Saccharomyces cerevisiae S288C: one gene and its partners. The gene in region 2 interacts genetically with the main gene of each other region. Each region holds a gene or a part of one and is shown on either strand. Other genes may lie near its edges. The genes, in order: NCL1, TRM8, SRM1 and PUS1.

What was found.
Region 1: mutations in TRM8 (region 2) and NCL1 are lethal when combined (synthetic lethality), as found in Saccharomyces cerevisiae (4 studies listed by BioGRID, with this or other methods).
Region 3: mutations in TRM8 (region 2) and SRM1 together harm fitness more than expected from each alone (negative genetic interaction), as found in Saccharomyces cerevisiae (2 studies listed by BioGRID).
Region 4: mutations in TRM8 (region 2) and PUS1 together harm fitness more than expected from each alone (negative genetic interaction), as found in Saccharomyces cerevisiae (3 studies listed by BioGRID, with this or other methods).

What each region holds. Positions count from the first base shown.
Region 1 is NC_001134.8:169,767-175,707, forward strand, and holds NCL1 (tRNA (cytosine-C5-)-methyltransferase), read left to right. Parts: upstream 1-2,767; coding exon 2,768-4,822; downstream 4,823-5,941. Other genes in the region: Sm-like protein LSM2, read left to right, coding at 857-910, 1,039-1,272; RRN10 (Rrn10p), read left to right, coding at 1,715-2,152; MCM DNA helicase complex subunit MCM2, read right to left, coding at 5,154-5,941. UniProt on the Saccharomyces cerevisiae protein: Methylates cytosine to m5C at several positions in different tRNAs and pre-tRNAs containing intron. Able to modify tRNAs at all four positions (34, 40, 48 and 49) at which m5C has been found in tRNAs.
Region 2 is NC_001136.10:97,047-101,745, reverse strand, and holds TRM8 (tRNA (guanine46-N7)-methyltransferase), read right to left. Parts: upstream 2,186-4,699; coding exon 1,325-2,185; downstream 1-1,324. Other genes in the region: YDL199C (uncharacterized protein), read left to right, coding at 1-456; MGT1 (methylated-DNA--protein-cysteine methyltransferase), read left to right, coding at 679-1,245; mitochondrial 54S ribosomal protein uL10m MRPL11, read right to left, coding at 2,522-3,271; ACK1 (Ack1p), read left to right, coding at 3,793-4,699. UniProt on the Saccharomyces cerevisiae protein: Methyltransferase that catalyzes the formation of N(7)-methylguanine at position 46 (m7G46) in tRNA, a modification required to maintain stability of tRNAs; its absence resulting in tRNA decay.
Region 3 is NC_001139.9:319,354-324,669, forward strand, and holds SRM1 (Ran guanyl-nucleotide exchange factor), read left to right. Parts: upstream 1-2,428; coding exon 2,429-3,877; downstream 3,878-5,316. UniProt on the Saccharomyces cerevisiae protein: Guanine nucleotide exchange factor that promotes the exchange of GSP1/GSP2-bound GDP by GTP and controls RNA metabolism and transport. Involved in yeast pheromone response pathway and in mRNA metabolism.
Region 4 is NC_001148.4:150,397-154,932, forward strand, and holds PUS1 (pseudouridine synthase PUS1), read right to left. Parts: upstream 2,754-4,536; coding exon 1,119-2,753; downstream 1-1,118. Other genes in the region: U2 snRNP complex subunit LEA1, read left to right, coding at 218-934; ribosome biosynthesis protein NIP7, read left to right, coding at 3,099-3,644; signal recognition particle subunit SRP72, read right to left, coding at 3,894-4,536. UniProt on the Saccharomyces cerevisiae protein: Formation of pseudouridine at positions 27 and 28 in the anticodon stem and loop of transfer RNAs; at positions 34 and 36 of intron-containing precursor tRNA(Ile) and at position 35 in the intron-containing tRNA(Tyr).

The DNA of each region.
Region 1 (5,941 bases), on a different chromosome or scaffold from region 2:
TTGAGAGTTTGGTTGCCACATGTACGCTTAGGACACTCATGACTATCACTCCTGTGTATCGCTTCCATGTCGTATACCCACTGGCCGATTCTCACCCTCTGCATTGTATGATATTACTAGTATTGCTTGTTTCAGGGGCAAGAATTTTCACTAATACACTACCAGTTTATGATAGCTTATCTACATCCTTTTACTGCAAAATTATTCTGGATTTGCAAAATTATTCTGGATTTGCAAAAGTTCGGCTTCACTATCAAAGCGAAAGGTGACCTTTTTATCGTACCTTTAAGAAAGATAGGCATAAACAATACTGTGTGGCAGGAAAAGATTTGATGAAGACCAAAAACAGCATCGAAGTGCTTTGCTACGATTTCTTTTTTTACTCTCCGGTTATTTTGAGCTATCTTGTCATTATATCTTTAAATTTATATATTTCTTTGCCCAGCTTTTAAGCGTTCACTGGAATTGCCCATATGTTCACTAAATATAAAACTGATTATTCTCTCCTCTATATTGTCATCTCGGCAGAAAAGCTACTTTTAAATAAGTTTTAAACACCAGTTTTCTGCAATGATAAAAATAGCTACTTTGGATAGAGGCTGAGGCCTAACTAGTTGGAAGAAACTACTTAGGGATCCTTTGTACGGGAAACTTTTTTCCGCTGTTGTAATTGTATCATTGTCGTTGTTCATTTTTCAAATCCAGGCAATGAGGAAGTTTTGAACCAAAAAAAATAAAACCGAAAACAGAGCAACTTTAATTATAGTACGGCATATAAGGAAAACAAATCCAGAATTCAATAAAAGAATACAATACTTTCGAACACATATCTCACGCTGATAACACCCTAGCAAGTATGCTTTTCTTCTCCTTTTTCAAGACTTTAGTTGACCAAGAAGTGGTCGTAGAGGTATGTTCATAATGATTTACATCGGAATTCCCTTTGATACAAGAAAACTAACGGGTATCGTACATCAATTTTTGAAAAAAGTCAAGTACTAACGTTTGTTTACCCCTGTTTATTGTGTTTCCACTCAGTTAAAAAACGACATTGAAATAAAAGGTACACTACAATCAGTTGACCAATTTTTGAATCTGAAACTAGACAACATATCATGCACAGATGAAAAAAAATATCCACACTTGGGTTCCGTAAGGAATATTTTTATAAGAGGTTCAACAGTCAGGTACGTTTACTTGAATAAGAACATGGTAGATACGAATTTGCTACAAGACGCTACCAGAAGGGAGGTAATGACTGAAAGAAAATAAGAATTATGCAGTCTATCCTCATGGCATTTTTTCTCATTAGTTTTTTACACGAGTATCATTTTAGGATATTGAGATTATATGTATATGTATATATGTAGGCCATAAGATGATTCAACGGTTTGTATTAATTATCCGGTTCCGAGCGTTAGGAGAAATAACTTGGTGTGATATCTGTCAAGTGGTCATCCAAAATTTTTTTGGCCAGAGCGTAAGCTACGTAGACTGATGAGGAATTCTTTTTTTTTGCCCCATTTTATCCCAAGAAATTCATTATGAGGTTTTGTTTTGTTTTACTAAATGCGCTTGATGGAAAAGCGAATGTCATGAAATGCAGATCAACACTCCAATAAAAAAGTAAATGTTTTTAAAGAAGTATATCACGCTACAAAAATTCATAAGCACTATATTTCGAACGTTAACCTAAATCTCTCCCACTAAGAAAATGGATAGAAATGTATATGAAGCCTGCAGCAATATAATTAAGGAATTTGGAACACATGTAGTGAGCGCCGATGAAGTACTCGCAGAAAAAATAGATAATGCTGTTCCTATACCGTTCAAAACAAGGGAGGAGATAGATGCCGACGTGGAAAAAGATAGAAACGAAGGAGTTTTCGAAGGTAATATCATTCCTGATATCGACCTACGTGTAGTACACTACTACGCCACGCAGTTGTGTCTAAATAAGTATCCTCATTTGATTAACGCCTTTGATGAGACAAGCCTTATAACATTGGGTTTACTCATCGAAAAGTGGGTAAAAGACTATCTAACCAGCATCCAGACAGAACAGGGAAGGCAAAGTAAGGTAATCGGGAAGGGGCCATGCGAATTCATATCAAAACATATTGATTATAGGCATGCGCCAGGTAATATCTGAATGTAGCAAAAACCTGGCTTTTGCGGCTGGGGAGGATGGAAGGCTTTTGTAGGCTATTATCTACTCGAGGAAGGAACGTTAGAATATCTCCATTTTTCACGCAAAATGTGGTTCTGAGTTAATGCGTGTGCTGAAGCATAACATGAGTTATTCCCTGTATGTATGTACAGTATTTCAATTTCGCAGACCGTGGGTTACATATGTGAGCGATTAGGAAGTAGTGAAGTAATTATGGCAAGTCTAGAGGTCCGGCTGATCCCTTGCGGTGCTGAAGTAACGAAACCGCGCGCATATCTTTTGGAAGAGATTAATTTGCACTGAATTTTCAAACTTAATTAGCGAGAAGAAGTAGATGCATTTCAATTATGCCAAAAGCAGTATTTATTACTTCTTATAGAATATAGTATCACTTACGCTCATTTAGTGTACCCACTTACGTATTAAATGACGTACTTTTTTTTTGTCCTCTTCTGTAGCTTTTTTTCACTTTGAAAAATTTAGCGCTGAGTTCTTCCAAAGACGTCAAATCACCTACTATAGTTAAAAACATATTACTTATACTAGTTCTAACACTTCCTTTTATCTACACTGTAATCCGAAGAATACACTATAAGGATGGCTAGAAGAAAGAATTTCAAAAAAGGGAACAAGAAGACTTTTGGTGCTCGTGATGACTCGAGAGCTCAAAAAAACTGGTCTGAACTGGTAAAGGAAAATGAAAAATGGGAAAAATACTATAAGACTTTAGCTCTTTTCCCAGAAGATCAATGGGAAGAATTTAAAAAGACATGTCAAGCTCCACTTCCTCTAACTTTTAGAATTACAGGTTCTAGAAAGCATGCCGGTGAGGTCCTGAATTTGTTTAAAGAAAGACATCTACCAAACTTGACTAATGTTGAGTTTGAAGGTGAGAAGATTAAGGCCCCTGTAGAATTACCTTGGTATCCAGACCATCTTGCTTGGCAATTGGACGTTCCTAAGACGGTTATTAGAAAGAATGAACAATTCGCAAAAACTCAGAGATTTTTAGTTGTTGAAAATGCCGTTGGTAATATCTCAAGACAAGAAGCCGTTTCAATGATTCCTCCAATCGTTCTAGAAGTAAAACCTCATCACACTGTTTTAGATATGTGTGCTGCTCCTGGCTCCAAAACTGCTCAATTAATCGAAGCCTTGCACAAGGATACAGATGAACCATCTGGTTTCGTTGTAGCTAATGATGCCGATGCCAGAAGATCTCATATGTTGGTTCACCAATTGAAGAGATTGAACAGTGCCAACTTGATGGTTGTCAACCATGACGCCCAATTCTTCCCACGTATCAGATTACATGGCAACTCAAATAACAAGAATGATGTTTTAAAATTTGACAGAATCCTGTGTGACGTTCCATGTTCTGGTGATGGTACCATGAGGAAAAATGTTAATGTTTGGAAAGACTGGAACACACAAGCAGGTCTTGGTTTGCATGCTGTTCAGCTGAATATATTAAACAGGGGTTTGCATCTTCTAAAGAACAACGGTAGATTGGTTTACTCAACCTGTTCTTTAAATCCTATTGAAAATGAAGCGGTTGTTGCCGAAGCGTTAAGAAAGTGGGGTGACAAGATTAGATTAGTTAACTGTGATGATAAGCTTCCTGGCCTAATAAGATCCAAGGGTGTATCCAAATGGCCTGTCTATGACAGAAATTTGACTGAGAAAACCAAAGGAGACGAAGGTACACTAGATAGTTTCTTTTCACCATCTGAAGAAGAGGCATCGAAATTCAATTTACAAAATTGTATGAGGGTTTATCCTCACCAACAAAACACAGGCGGATTTTTCATTACTGTTTTCGAAAAAGTCGAAGATAGCACTGAGGCGGCTACAGAGAAACTATCTTCTGAAACCCCAGCTCTAGAGTCTGAAGGACCTCAAACAAAGAAAATAAAGGTAGAAGAAGTCCAAAAGAAAGAAAGACTACCACGTGACGCGAACGAAGAGCCTTTTGTTTTCGTTGATCCACAGCACGAAGCTTTAAAAGTTTGTTGGGATTTCTACGGCATCGATAATATTTTCGACAGAAACACTTGTTTAGTGCGTAACGCCACTGGTGAACCAACAAGAGTGGTTTACACTGTGTGTCCAGCATTGAAGGATGTTATTCAAGCGAATGACGATAGGTTGAAGATTATTTATTCTGGTGTAAAATTGTTTGTCTCTCAAAGAAGTGATATCGAATGTTCATGGAGAATCCAAAGTGAATCATTGCCAATAATGAAACACCATATGAAATCTAATAGAATTGTTGAAGCTAATTTAGAGATGTTAAAACACTTGTTAATCGAATCTTTCCCTAACTTTGACGACATTCGTTCGAAGAACATCGATAATGATTTTGTTGAAAAGATGACAAAATTAAGCTCTGGTTGCGCCTTTATTGATGTGTCAAGAAATGACCCTGCCAAAGAAAACTTATTCTTGCCTGTGTGGAAAGGCAACAAGTGTATCAATTTGATGGTTTGTAAAGAAGATACTCATGAGCTATTATATAGGATCTTTGGTATTGATGCGAATGCCAAGGCTACTCCAAGCGCTGAAGAAAAAGAAAAAGAAAAAGAAACGACTGAATCTCCCGCAGAAACTACTACCGGAACCTCTACTGAAGCTCCTAGCGCTGCTAATTGATAGTTATCATGTTTCTTATCCCCTCCACTGTAAAGTAAATGTATATTATTAAAAGGCAAAAATAAGAATATAATACTTCAGTAATGAGCCTTTTTTATTCGGTCTTGTTACTTCTTTTTTACTTCATTTTTTTTTTTTTTTTTGGATAGTAAATAATGCACTTTTGACTAGATCTTGAGTATTTAGTTGAATTGAAATTAAAGATACAGTGTATAAAAATTATACAAAAAATAAAGGAAACTTGTATATTGAAAATAGGATTGCCAATACATGGATTGAGACAGAGAATTTTTTATCTTCATATCCAGATATTCGTAGGAATAACAAAGTTTTAGTGACCCAAGGTATAAATTGCGAAAGACCTGCGGAGTTGGCGGCGAACACTGACTTTTTGGGCATCAACAAAGGAATCAACTACAACTTTGATAGCTCTATCCAAATCATAAGAAGACACAAATTCAGATAATCTCATTTTAGCAAAAGATTCTGCAATTCTTAGAATAGATTCTAAATGACGAACTGTGATTGGAAACGAACCTGTAGAAATACTTTCTCTTCTCAAATCCGCATATACCCTGCTAACCTTATCCATATCCATCTGATGCAATTTAGGGTATATTTTTGTCCTCGCATAGTGAATATATTTCATCAATAATTCCTGTGGAATAGGCGAGATCTCTTCCTCCTTCTTCCTTTGTCTTTGAAGTCTTCTTTGCCTTGCATTAAGCTGCTCATTTATTTCATCTTCTCCTTGTTCTATCGCCGATTCGCCATTATTTTTAAGCTCTTCGCCTTCTCGATCTTCATCGTTTTCTGGATGAGATCTTACATGAGAATCGACAACAAATGTGGCCAATCTTTCGTCTGCCTCTTCATCAACAAGGTCTCTGACAACACATAAAATATCAAATCTAGACAGAATAGGCTCGGTCAAACTAACATTCTGAGCTAAAGGCAAGGTTGAATTATATCTACCACCATTAGGATTTGCCGCAGCAATAATTGAGCAGCGCGCTTGTAATGTAGTAACAATACCGGCCTTGGAAATGGAAATACTTTGCTGTTCCATAGCCTCATGAATAGATGTACGATCCTGATCGTTCATCTTATCGAATTCAT
Region 2 (4,699 bases):
CCATCTTTATCTTCCTTTATTTCCATTATATTTGTGCTGAAGATTTTTCCTATAGAAACCCGTGACGAAAGGTTAGATTCTGATGATGATTCTACCGGAAACGGTAGCGGTAACCATGATGATGTTTTTGACGATACCGGTTCTGAATTCTCCTCCTCACCATCTTTTTCCGCGTATCAGATAAACACTCTAGGAAGTAGTATCAAACAAAATAATCAAGCCTATTCATCTATTCAAAATGAGCAGATTCTACCCAAAAACGGAAACTTATCGAACCAGACACACGGTTCTGCACAAAATGTTTATTTCATTACATCTGATTCAGGACCATCAAGGACTGGAGAATTTTTCAGTTTTCATAACAGAACCGATCCAAATATCAGCGACAACATTGCTGCGAATAAACCCAGTTCAGGTGGAGGCCAGAATTCGCCTGGAGACATGGCAGTTGCCTAGTATGGCCTCATAAAAATATTTGCTTCATCCTAAGTATAAATGTTTAGTTTTATCCTACATACATATTCTTATTATAGTCATTAGAAAAAAGGCACGGCGCTATTGGCCTGGCAGGGCATTTAAAATGCGGTGGAAACAAGGAAGATTAATCAAGTAATGATATAGCATATGCACAAAAAAAAAATTGAAAACGGTCGCATTTTTGATCTAAATGGACCAACGATGAAGGAACTGCTTTACTATACATTCATTGAAACTGAAGTGACTGGTGCATTTTTGGTGTTTAGGGAAAAGACTCAAAACCTTGTTTTTGCCTCGTTAGGTAATGATAAGCTTTTTTTATTGGGAAAGGTGGAAGGCTTCTTGAAGAAACATGAGAAACAGGATACAATGTACGATTTACAGGAACTAAAAGAGGCAGAAACATATAAGAAATCAATCGAAAATTATACAATATGTTTAGAAAACAAAATGCCATTACCATCGGGCGCTATTCCCTTTGAGTTCCTGTTTGGAACAGATTTTCAACGTAAAGTTTGGAATGAGCTTTTAAACGTGGAACACGGCCACGTCGTAACATATGGTGATATTGCAAAGAGAATAGGGAAGCCAACTGCCGCAAGATCTGTCGGAAGAGCTTGCGGCTCAAATAACCTGGCATTGTTAGTACCTTGCCATAGAATCGTTGGTAGCAATAGAAAATTAACCGGATATAAATGGAGCTGTAAACTGAAAGAACAGTTATTAAATAATGAAAAGGAAAATAGCTTAAGCCTTAGTAGATTGTAGTTGGATAAAGGATTTTAGGAAAATAAACATAAGAAATAGTTATGTATATGTGGTAAATTGTTCTAGTTATACATCTATGTTACAATATGGCTGGCGTTGGTAATCTTGTGAAACAAGCGACGAACTTGTCACCCTTCTTTCTTTCCACTTTTTTACCTTCTTCTGTGGCATTTCTCATTATTTTCACACATTCATCGTTTTCTTCCCATTCTTTGCTCAACCGTTCAAATAAAGGATGCTCTTCTAAATGTTTTACCATCCACTCATGCAGGTCTTTGACGTCTGTAATTGTGTACACGACACCGCCCTCTTTCAAAACATATGCGTACTCACTCAGCAAGGTGTTAGTGATAATTCTTGCCTTATGCTTTCTTTGTTTGAAATGAGGATCGGGGAAACAAAAAAACATTTTAGAAAGCTGGCCCTTTTCAAAAAAGTTGGGCAAGAATTTCATAGCGTTACCTCTCAAGACATTAATGTTTTGAAATCCATGTTTTGAAGCTGTATTGTTCCTTAAGGCAATAATTCTATCCTCCACGTAATTTGTAACCTGCACACGAATTTCCATCCCTAAGATAAGATCTTCAGGGAAGGCTGGTGATAAATCTATCATCAACCCACCGAATCCACAGCCAATATCAGCAATCGTCACCTTCTTTGTCATTTGTCCATTTTCCGCGTTTTTGTAGTAAGGGTACAATTTGGACCAATCCATATCCTGGGGAGATACTGGGTACTCTAACTGGTGATCTGAAAATGGGTTGGAATGCGCCCTTTGACGATAATATCTCTTCTTTGGCAAGTCGATCTTTTGGCCTTCTTGCACCAAAGAACTTTCATTGATCTTTACATGCTTCAACTCCTTACGATTTTCTTCCTTATTTATACGGTATGCGTAACGCTTGGAGCCTGGATCTTGGCTTAGTGGCTTGGCTTTCATCTTAACAATAAACGCTTGAAAATTTTATCCTATGGGAACTGCTGAATCTATACTAATCCAGCTTTTGTGGCGCTTTAATAAAGTGAAATGTCAGAAATATCCTGAAATTTTTTGCTGAAGTCATCACCAAAATTTTTCATTTTTTTTTTTTTTCAACGGTCGCTGAGATATGTAAAAAGGTAAGAAAGGTAAAAGAAAGGTAATTTTGACGTCAATACATAGACTAAAGTATATTTACCGTTATTGCTTCATTGTCTTTTTATTTTTTGATGATGTATGTACATGATTGAATAGTAAAACCTTTATAAAACTTGTCGAATTACGGGCATTTTCTTTTTACTTTGATCCCTTCGATTCTGCATCTGTAGTTGACTCCACATCCTCTTTAGGTTTTTGGTTGTCATTGTGAGATTTTAGTGTTAAATACAATGCATTTGAACTGTTTTCCAACGTACGAACCAAACCCAACCCACTTAGCATTTGCAAAACGCTGACTAACTGCGACTGCATTTCCGGCTTTGTGGGGAGAGTCTTAAAAGTGTTTATTTTTTCCACATTCAAAACTTCGTTTTCTACTTTTGCACCAATCACCATCAGCTTGTCTTGTGCTGACTGCAGAACCTTCAATAGCTTGGCTACTTGTTGAGGGTTGGTGTCTTCGTATGTAATTGTGGCCGTAGGACCCTTCAGTAGTGGCAAGAGTGGATGTTTCCAGTTTTGCTCTTTACGCTTCACGAATCCACATGGGTCGGGCAGATGCGAATTTCTCAAGTAGACTTCGAACAGGTTGTTTCTTACTTTTGTGAGTTTCCCTCCTGTCTGTTTAATCTTGAATCTGAAATGGTGATCTTCTGTTTTGGAAAGATTATTGTAATGGACAAAAAAAATCATAGAACTGTTCTCCATTAAATGCTTGTATGTATCGATGAGAAACGTCTTCCTCGAGTCCAGCGGCTTTACTGTCTTTCTTGAGGGTTGTTCAGAAGCCAGAGCATAAAATCTCTTATGTACTGTACCAATTGTCTCCTTCAAACCAAAAAAACCATTTCTGGGGACCCATCCAGGCATAAACCTTAGCTGCAACATTATTTATAATCACACTCCGCGCCCAAGCACTTCCAATAAGGTCTAAAGCTTTTGTTTTCCTTACTCTTCAATTGTACTAACCTTCTTTCTTTTCTCAGTTTACTGCTATAACTCTACGTTTTTTTCTGTATGAATCTCTACTAAGCCCTAGGGTTATTAGTGTATAAACGTTAGGTTACACTATGAAAAAGACTTGTTTAATAGGTCATATAGTAAAAAGCTTAGGTTAAGTGCCTTCAAGAACGAAACCTAATTTTAAAATTGACGACTAATTATCAAGTGTATTGAAGATGGCTTGAGATGAACCTTAGCACTGGATGCTATGGCTTGTAGAATAAGCAGATATCCCGGTAATTTAATTTGAGTTGCTCAAATTATATACAAGAACGTGGTAGAGACTGGATTTGGAAGCGTCTCTTTTTATGAAGTAGATTTTAACTCCGTTTTCTTTTCATTTCCTTCTATTCTTTTGTACAGAGTGTACCACCACGTTTTAATACTTTGTTTTAATACAGTAGGCAATGGTTAATCAGGGCCAACCGCAACCTAACCTCTATGACAAACACATTAACATGTTTCCACCAGCAAGGGCGCGGGAGTCCTCGCATAAATTGGGAAATGCCAATTCGGATAGGCATGGTTTGCCAGCTCAAAATATAGTGCCTGCACCCTATCCAGTGGATGACTCTATCGTTGAACTCACACCAGCTATTCCTTTTACATCCCCTTCATCTTCCTCATCATTATCGCTGCCTTTGAGTGCGCTGAATTTCACAGACGGGAATGCTGATGGTGGTCAATTAGGCACTCCAGTAACCATAAATAGTAATAACGGCATGGACATTTTTAATTCCAAGCCAACAGGTGAAATAGGATATGCCAATAATGGCACCAACAGTACTGGTAGTAGGTATGAACTTCCTTTCAATTTTAGTTCTACAAAAGAGAGTTTGGGTTCACCAGCTGTACAAGATGCATCAATAAGCAGTGGAAATCGAATATCAGAGTCTGTAAGGGACAACTCAGCGCCACCACCCTATGAGGAATCTGAATCTAGGATACTGCAGGAAAAAGTTTACAGAACCGAGGAAAAAGCTCCAATACGACCTTTGAATAATAATCCTGTTCCACCACAAAAAATCAACCAACCACCCACTGGGAGCGCGAAGACAGACGATAATGGGTCCTCAGGTGGTGAGGACAAACTGTCTTCCTATTCACCAGAGGCATTGGCTTTCTATCAAGTGTACAAGAAGACAATTACTGACTCTTCAAAATTCACCCCCGAGATACAAATGCAATGGTGTGAAACATTACTTACATATGCCTTTAATGAGGATTTCATATCGCAATATAACATAAACGCGGAGAAGCTCAAAAGAAGCTTAAAGCCTGAGGAAATGCTCAAAAACCAGAAAGTCATTTTGG
Region 3 (5,316 bases), on a different chromosome or scaffold from region 2:
TCCAAAATATCTATTGTTAGAGAGGCGTTAATAGAACAACACAACACAAAAATACTGAAGGTCAAAGTTTGTTGTATTACGGGCTCGAGTAATACCGGAGTGTCTTGACAATCCTAATATAAACGGTCTTAGGGAAGTAACCAGTTGTCAAAACAGTTTATCAGATTAATTCACGGAATGTTACTTATCTTATATATTATATAAAATATGAATCATATTAAGTGGTGGAAGCGCGGAATCTCGGATCTAAACTAATTGTTCAGGCATTTATACTTTTGGTAGTTCAGCTAGGGAAGGACGGGTTTTATCTCATGTTGTTCGTTTTGTTATAAGGTTGTTTCATATGTGTTTTATGAACGTTTAGGATGACGTATTGTCATACTGACATATCTCATTTTGAGATACAACAAAGTTCATAAAGAAATTAGCCATCTTAGTATAGTGGTTAGTACACATCGTTGTGGCCGATGAAACCCTGGTTCGATTCTAGGAGATGGCATTTTTTCCGAAATTTCGCCTTCTCGCACAACTTTCCAAACCCGACCAAGAGAAGGAAGAAATCATTTTTTTTGTTGCGAGTTGTCATAGAACGAGGTCGAGAAACAGAAGAGGAATTGAAAATGAATTGTAAAAGCGTTCGTTCTATGCCTCTAATAAGAGAGTACGTCTTGCTTGATGTGAACCCAAATGCCCACAAAACAGTACGATTTGCAGTTATGTAAATTTGTGGTTTGTCTCCTGGCAAAAAGAATGCATTCGTACTGCACATAATTGAAATAAGGATGTAGTTCAACTTCTATGAATGCTCGGCGATACGATATGTAGAGGGGACAAAAATATGTAGGTATCCTATGGTAAATAAATCGGTCTGTTTTAAAACCTGTTTTAGTGCAGCTTCTTTCCACGAAAGAAATAGTGTAAGTTAGAGGTACTTCTCTTTTACCTAAAGGAGGTGTAGTTATGATAAAAAGCGAAGCTAACTAAGACAGCTAAGCTCTTTATGTTGATAGTTAAAAGTTAACAGGTTGTATTAATGAAGAATGAATATGGATCTTTTTGTACTTATATAACAGAGGTATAAACCACATGCCGATTGTTTCATTATTATATATGGCTAATATAATGGTGATTCCGGCAGCTTCATACATTTAATGTGACGACTCATATTGCTCTTATATGTGACTTTCAGATCTCATTCAATTAATAGACTCTTAACTCAAATTCAGTACTTTCTGACATGCTCATTTACATTTCCTTTTGTAATAGTGCTTCCATACTTCATCGTATAGGATTTAAACATTTAGATCGTTACCATAGTAACTCATGTTACTATTAAATACCGCTCGTTTCAACACATTATATAATACTTTGGCATTGATACGCCACATAATATTCTAATTTCTCTTCAACACATAAGACAAACAGGGCAAATCAAGCAACAGGAAGGTATTTGCTTCTTAATGGCAAAACAGGTTCAGTTCCACTAAATAAAAAGGGGAAATTTACGTGTCATTTATTATGGGTTCAGAAATTATGTGTTAAGTAAAACACCTATAGCACTGGGGCAAATTCCGGCATCAATTTCAACGCCACCAAAATTGTGTGCGATAATAATTGTGACCCCATCATGGAAATGAGCCTTCAGCCAGAGACGGAAAAACTCTTGAAAGGAATACTGATGGATTTATAGGTTCGGAAAATAATAATAATAAAAAGCCGTGTTGGACATTATCCCTCCCGTTGCTCGCGGTAAATTCTTAAGGCCATATTTCAGGTAGGAACCATCGTCAACAATTGCTACAACGTTTTGTAGTCCCCAAGATTGAAATACAATAGCAGTTGAAAGAGAACTACCTAAGATAATTCAATGAGGCAATTACTGATTATTCCTGACAGAGTGTAAAATATTTGCAAGTAAGAGAATCGGAACAGAAAATTTAGATATTATGAGAGTCTTCCCTCGGCAGTAACGATATAAAGCCAATCTGTATTCCAGTGTCCTGCCATTCTGGTTCTTTAAAAACTCACTTCCAAGATAGTATAATCCGAGACTCTAAAGAAAAGGACACTTGCTTTTAATGGACAGAGGAACACCGCATACTCTAAAGTAGAGAGCACCGATATCAAGAGTTACATATATATATATATATATATTGTTTGCTTCCGACAGAGATAGCTATCTAGCAATTCCCTTCTTTTTCAATCGTTGGGCGGCTAAAAGTAGCAGGGTTTCGCGAGGACCTCTCGAAGGACAAACAATATTCATTACCCGCACAAATAAAATTTCAAAAAAACAAAAAAGCACGGGAGAGGCAAGGCAGGATGAATAAAATCACCGATCTCGAGAATATTAAAAGTCATCAAGACATCCTCTTTAAGTCAAATCCTGGATCCAGAAACTTAAAAAGTTGTCATATAAAAGTTTAAAATGGTCAAAAGAACAGTCGCCACCAATGGAGACGCGTCTGGCGCTCATAGAGCAAAGAAAATGTCTAAAACTCATGCTTCTCATATCATAAACGCTCAAGAAGACTACAAGCATATGTACTTAAGTGTCCAACCATTGGATATATTTTGCTGGGGTACTGGTTCTATGTGTGAGCTTGGGTTGGGTCCACTAGCCAAAAATAAGGAAGTTAAAAGACCAAGGTTAAACCCATTTTTACCTCGCGATGAGGCCAAGATCATTTCTTTTGCAGTCGGTGGTATGCACACCTTAGCCCTTGATGAAGAAAGCAATGTATGGTCCTGGGGTTGCAATGACGTGGGTGCGTTGGGCAGAGATACTTCCAACGCCAAGGAACAACTCAAGGACATGGACGCCGATGACTCAAGTGATGACGAAGATGGTGATTTGAACGAATTGGAATCTACGCCCGCTAAAATCCCAAGAGAGTCATTTCCTCCCTTAGCGGAGGGACACAAGGTCGTGCAATTGGCAGCTACAGACAATATGAGTTGCGCCCTGTTCAGCAATGGCGAGGTATACGCATGGGGTACTTTCCGTTGCAATGAAGGTATCCTAGGGTTTTACCAAGATAAAATTAAAATTCAAAAAACTCCATGGAAAGTGCCTACATTCTCTAAGTACAATATTGTCCAATTAGCTCCCGGTAAGGATCACATACTTTTCTTAGATGAAGAGGGTATGGTGTTCGCCTGGGGTAACGGTCAGCAAAACCAATTAGGAAGAAAAGTTATGGAAAGGTTCCGTTTAAAGACTTTGGATCCCAGACCATTTGGGTTAAGACATGTAAAATACATCGCATCTGGCGAAAACCATTGCTTTGCTTTAACAAAAGACAACAAGTTAGTAAGCTGGGGGTTGAATCAGTTTGGTCAATGTGGTGTTTCAGAGGATGTGGAAGACGGTGCGCTTGTTACAAAGCCAAAAAGACTAGCGCTACCTGATAACGTTGTTATCAGAAGCATTGCTGCTGGTGAACATCACTCATTGATCCTATCCCAAGATGGCGATTTGTATTCGTGTGGTAGACTAGACATGTTTGAAGTTGGTATCCCAAAAGACAATTTACCCGAATATACTTACAAAGATGTTCATGGAAAAGCACGTGCCGTGCCACTTCCAACTAAGTTGAATAATGTTCCGAAGTTCAAAAGCGTTGCGGCGGGGTCTCACCATTCAGTCGCGGTAGCTCAAAATGGCATTGCCTATTCTTGGGGTTTTGGTGAAACCTACGCCGTTGGATTAGGCCCTTTTGAGGACGACACTGAAGTTCCAACCAGAATCAAGAATACTGCTACACAGGATCATAACATCATTTTAGTCGGGTGTGGAGGCCAATTTTCCGTGTCTGGTGGTGTTAAGCTGTCTGATGAGGACGCAGAAAAGAGAGCGGATGAAATGGATGATTAAGGTAGTAGTACAAAGATAAATAAAAGAAAATCGACATAATGCACCTCAGTATAAATTGTAAAATATAACATAAATCAAAGAAAAACGAGAAAACGATATGATTATCCGATACCGACAAATTCTCATGTTTATTTTTTTTTTTTTTTTTTTTTTTTTTTAATTTTTCTTGGGCCTTTACATTGAGTACAGGGGCATAAGTGCGAGGAGTTACCAGACGACAACTAGCAGGCGGATGAAATCAACACTGAGTAAGTATTATGTAATCCATCCGCTCGTCCAGCCCTTCAGGTTCTTCCTCTTCTGCACGTTTCTCTAGTAATGAACTTTCTAAGGAATTTAATCGGATTTTTTGAGAAAAACGGAGAAAAATTAAAAATGTGCCAAGACACCAGCAACAGGCAAAGCAAAGGATAAACTTCCGGTGAACATGTTAGCACGGAAAAATTCATTGCTCTCTCTAACCGCGACAAATTACCTATCGTATTTTAACTTTCTTCAACAGCATTATGGAAAATGCATACCGGAGATTGCTCATACAGACCATAAAAACAACAGAAAGTCTTGTGAGGAAGATAAGCAAGCACGGTAGGTAAACCAGATATGCACATAAATTACCGCTGACTCTCCCCTAAAAGAACTATATTGATGGTCTGACATATAAGGCACCGCTGAAAAGCATGTACAATTTTAATGTCTTTGCATTTGCATAGTCAGTGTGGCGTGCATTCTCCACAGAATCTAACTAATCAAATGTATCGTGACTGGGTGTTGCATCATTTTCGCGAATAAAAAATAGAACACTGTAGAGTAGCGCAGCGCTTTTTTTTTATTGAGGCCCTTTGCAGAACCAAGGCTGCAGTCTTTTCTCTGAAGATTAGCTTTGCTAATATAAACAAATCCGTTAAGTTCTTGGGAATTTCTTTGAAGGGGGGGAGGCGGAAATGTAGTGAGTTGTTTTTACTGTGATTTGCTTTTTCTTTCGCTCATGGCTTATTTTCCTTTCCTTTTCTTCCCACATTCAATAATGCAGCGTAAATATAGAACAAGATTACTTGTTTATACGAGATATACGGGCAGTGAATAAAGTGGTACTAGAACTAATTATCAAAAAGAGTAACTGTCATTCAACATTTCTGGCTCTAGACCCAATAGGACATAAACTTTTAGATTTTTGAAAAATGGCTTGGCGCAGCACGGTAATACTAGTTGGTTTTTTAAGCCTACTTTCGCCAATAAAAAAAACTACGAAACAGTTCTTACTTACCAATATCCCCTGCCACTACACTGTACTTTAGTGAACCCAACATCACGAATAAGAAACAATAAACAATAAACAATAAACAAGTGTTGCTTTAGCTCAACTTGCCCCTGAGAAATAACAGCGCAACTATCAACAATGAATGCATAGCATGGAGTAGAGTAAAAAAGCTTTGTTTTGG
Region 4 (4,536 bases), on a different chromosome or scaffold from region 2:
TGAAATAAACCTTATCTATCTTTTTTTTGTTCCTGGTTTTCAAAGTTGATTTTCGACAGACCCTAGTTAATTATAGGAAAAAGCCCTATTAGTCTTTTTCTTATCATAGATGACATTTACTTATATTAGGCCAATCGCATACTCTGCATCCAACAAGCCTTCAACAGGTCGAAGTGAAACTACAGGACTTGGAAAATATCAGTTTTTATAAGCAATAATGAAGTTCACCCCTAGCATAGTTATTGATGCTCCGCAATATTATGTTGATCATTTTAATGGCAAGTATAACGTGGATAAATGTGTTATTTTAAGAGACCTGCAGCTAGAAACGGATTCAGAATCCATGCCATCCAGCTTAAAGCATTTGACCAAACCTACGCACATCTTGGATTTGACAAACAATGACCTTATCATGATTCCAGATCTATCAAGAAGAGACGATATACATACATTACTGTTGGGCCGAAACAATATCGTTGAAGTAGACGGTCGCCTATTGCCTATGAATGTACAGAACCTTACATTATCGAATAACAGCATAAGAAGGTTTGAAGATCTTCAAAGGTTGCGTAGAGCGCCCAGGACGTTGAAGAATCTAACTTTAATAGGGAATCAAGTATGTCATTTAGCCAATTATAGAGAACATGTACTTCGATTAGTACCGCATTTAGAGACTTTAGACTTTCAAAACGTAACAGCTGAGGAAAGAAAGAGCGCAATGAGCTTTCCAAGGCAGGCGGACGGCGATACGTTGGGCCCAGTAAATACTGCAATAAGAGATAATGGATCCAGAGATAAAACGATGGAGATCATGAATTTGGTGGTGAGTAAGATGACAGTAGAGAGAAGAAATGAATTGAAAAAGCAGTTAGCAGAAGCTACTTCTTTAGAAGAGATTGCCAGGCTGGAAAAACTACTCTCTGGTGGTGTTTAATCTTTTGGTTAGTGCGACTGTTCAATGACTTAAAAAAAAAGAATTATAAATTATTCTGTGCCATTATATAATAATATATAAAACGAAAACAAATAATGGTGCTCTATAAACATTAGAGGACAATGTCAATTTCAATGTCAATGCCTTAGAAATTAAAGTTGGTAAGAAAGAAGGAAAGGGCAACCTAATTAGCTGCCGCTTCCGGTTGTACTTCAGGTTCGTTGCTCTGAGTGGTGCTGGATATTTCAGCCTTTTTACTAGCAGCTTCCTCCTCTTCCATTCTTTTTCTTTGCTTAATCTTCTTATTGCTCTCGGGCGCATCAGTAAGACCTGGGATACCCTTAGCTGTCAAGAATTCGAAGATACTCTTTTGCACAGCAGGTCCCGATTTATCGGCAGTTTCTTCTCCCTGTGCTCCAGTAACCTTGTTGAAACTATCAATATAACTAAAGAACGCATTAAAAACATTTTCGTCCACCTCTTCCTTGTAGATCTTATCGTAGATATGCTTCATTTTGAACTTATCCACTTCGTCTTGATATTTGGAAAAATCGATCGCCTTGTAACCAAACTGTTCTAGTCTTTTATTATAACCTTCAAATACTGGAGCTTCTAACAATAATCCTAATGCAGGTGCCTTCGGAATATTAATCTTCTGCTGTCCGTAAGCCTGACTAATGCGTTCGACGGGGCAACCACAACGGGTAATTAAGGTTGCCATTGATACCATCTTACGAATTTGATGTAGCATGAAAGACTGGCCGTGAATCTTGATGGAAATCCATTCTGTTTGGGCATCGCCAATAACAAATGGATCAGATACTTTTATATCTTTCATAAATCGAATGGCACTTGGTTCTTTGAAGTCCTTGCCTAATGTAAAATTATGGAAGTTATGAGCGCCAAGGTATTGACTTGTAGAAGCACGGAATTTGGCCAGTTTTGCCGCGGATATACGATATCTTCTACGGTGAGCATTTTCTAATTGCTTGTACTTTTTTACCTTCTGGTATAGTTCTTCATTTATATCAAATTCATCTCTTGCGGGCGGAACATATGCTAATATAGCTTCGATTTCTTCTGTTGAAAATTTTTCATTCGCATCTTTTTTAAACTCTTCCCAAAATTCTTTGGATTCCAAATCTTCATCTAATACACCAGGTAATTCTGTTTTACTTTCTTCGATGTCTCTATAAAGTATAGAACCAGGTTTGGGGCCAATGAGTGAATAAGTTGGTAATAAGTATTCGTACCAACGTGAACTGCACATTTTTCTACAATCAAACGCCTTGTTCACACGCTCGATATCCCATACCCTTATCCCTTCCGGTAACTTTTCGTTGATCTTCTGCTTGATATCAGGATCTTCAATAATCATTTTCAATGATATTAAATTACCTCCAGCATGGACACCCTTATCAGTTCTTGCAGCTCTCATGAATCCATTCTTTTTCAAATCGTTGGAGTTGTCCTTGGAAATAGCACCTGCTTCAACAAATGCTTTGAATAGGGCAGACTCGATGGTTGGATTTGGTGGATTATATTGCATACCATGGTAGCCAGTACCACAGTAACCAACCATAACAGCCACCTTTCTCTTTGGGAGACGAGGCTCCTTGGGAAGTGGATTGCCATTTTCATCCAAACGAGGACCGCTTTTTGGTCTTTTATCTATGTGTTTGTCATTATCCTTTTTTTTGTCCTTTTCATCGTCGAAGTCTGCCTTACGAGCTTTGGTCAATTTGCTCTGAGCGCCTCTCTTGTAGACATCCTCATTAACTTGATCGTCATAGGCAGGCCTCAAATTCTCTTCAGACATCCTTGATATCACTTATAATTGTTATTTACTAGCACTTTATTGTCCTTTATTATTTTTTTAGTACTTCTTGTATTTCAAATTTCTCGAACTATAGCGATGACTAAAAGTGAAAAATTTCAAAGCCAAAAGAAAAAAAAAAAAAGAAAATATTATTTCAGCGGCTAATAGTTACCCGCATCAAAATAATATATCTCTGTACGGTAATGAAAATTTTTGAAATATGCGATGAGCTTAGAACTAAAGTAAGCAATGTATTATTGAGGTAATTGACGGTTTAGTGATTGGATCGTATTCTAGATTTCCGAGTAGTAGAACCATTGAGGGAAACTATAGTTAGGTGCAATAATGAGACAGCTAACAGAAGAAGAGACCAAGGTTGTTTTCGAAAAACTCGCCGGCTATATTGGTAGAAATATTTCTTTTTTAGTGGATAATAAAGAACTTCCTCATGTCTTCAGATTACAAAAGGATAGAGTATATTACGTACCCGATCATGTTGCAAAATTGGCTACTAGTGTAGCAAGACCTAACTTGATGTCTCTGGGTATTTGTTTAGGTAAATTCACGAAAACTGGAAAATTCAGGTTACATATTACTTCTTTGACAGTATTGGCTAAGCATGCCAAATATAAGATATGGATTAAACCTAATGGGGAGATGCCATTCTTATACGGTAATCATGTGTTAAAGGCACATGTGGGTAAAATGTCTGATGATATACCAGAACACGCCGGTGTTATTGTGTTTGCAATGAATGATGTGCCATTAGGGTTCGGTGTCAGTGCGAAAAGTACTTCTGAGTCAAGAAACATGCAACCCACTGGTATAGTTGCTTTCAGACAAGCAGATATTGGTGAGTATTTGAGAGATGAAGACACCTTGTTTACTTAGTGGGAAGGACTGATGATGAATTCCCGTGTACATTTCACTTACAGCTTGCGTTATCTCTCACAATGTATTTTTTTCTGTATAATAAAGAATCATATAATTAGCGCTTAAAAGGAAAGAGTTGTTCGATAAAATGGGGAGCCTAACCCCTCGATGACCTTTCTTTTGAATTAGTCGAGTTCCATTTCATATACAATATTACATAACTTGACAACATTTGAGGATTACTAATGACAAAAATCTTTATACGCTCTATTTACGGCCCTTCTTCTTGTTCTTAGGCTTTTTATTAACAGTGGGCTTCCCTTTCTTTGATATGTCAAGGGCCTGTTCTGATTTTTTGTTCATAGCACCACCTTGAGTTTGTTTTGCACCTTGTTGTTTTTTCTTTGGCCTATAAGTAGACCTGTCTCTTAATGGCAGCCACCTTTCAGGATCAGGTAATTTGGAGGTGTCGCGACCTTGTAAAAATTTTTCGAGGCGTTTAATCTTTCTTTTCTTCTTTAGCTCTAAAACTTTTCTCTTTTGAACTTTGCTAACTGCGGTGTTTTTACTTCTCTTTGCTGACGATTCTAAGGGTTTCACACCAAGTTGAATTAATTTATCAATATCAATATCTCTCACTAGATCTATACCTTGTGCTATATCCAAAGAATCTGACGAAACAACTCTGTCAACAAGGACATCTGCATCGCCTTTACTAAAGTTTGAAATCTCTCTGAGTAAAGCCTTCGATTCTTTAGCATTACCCATGGACAATAATTCAAACCCGACGTGTTTCCAAAATGGTATGTTTTCTTGGATTTTTCCGCTCAATTGGACTCTCACGGAGCCTAATTTTTTAAGCAGAACACTTTTGGAGTTGTTTCTTCCCTTAATCTTGTATAATTCAAAT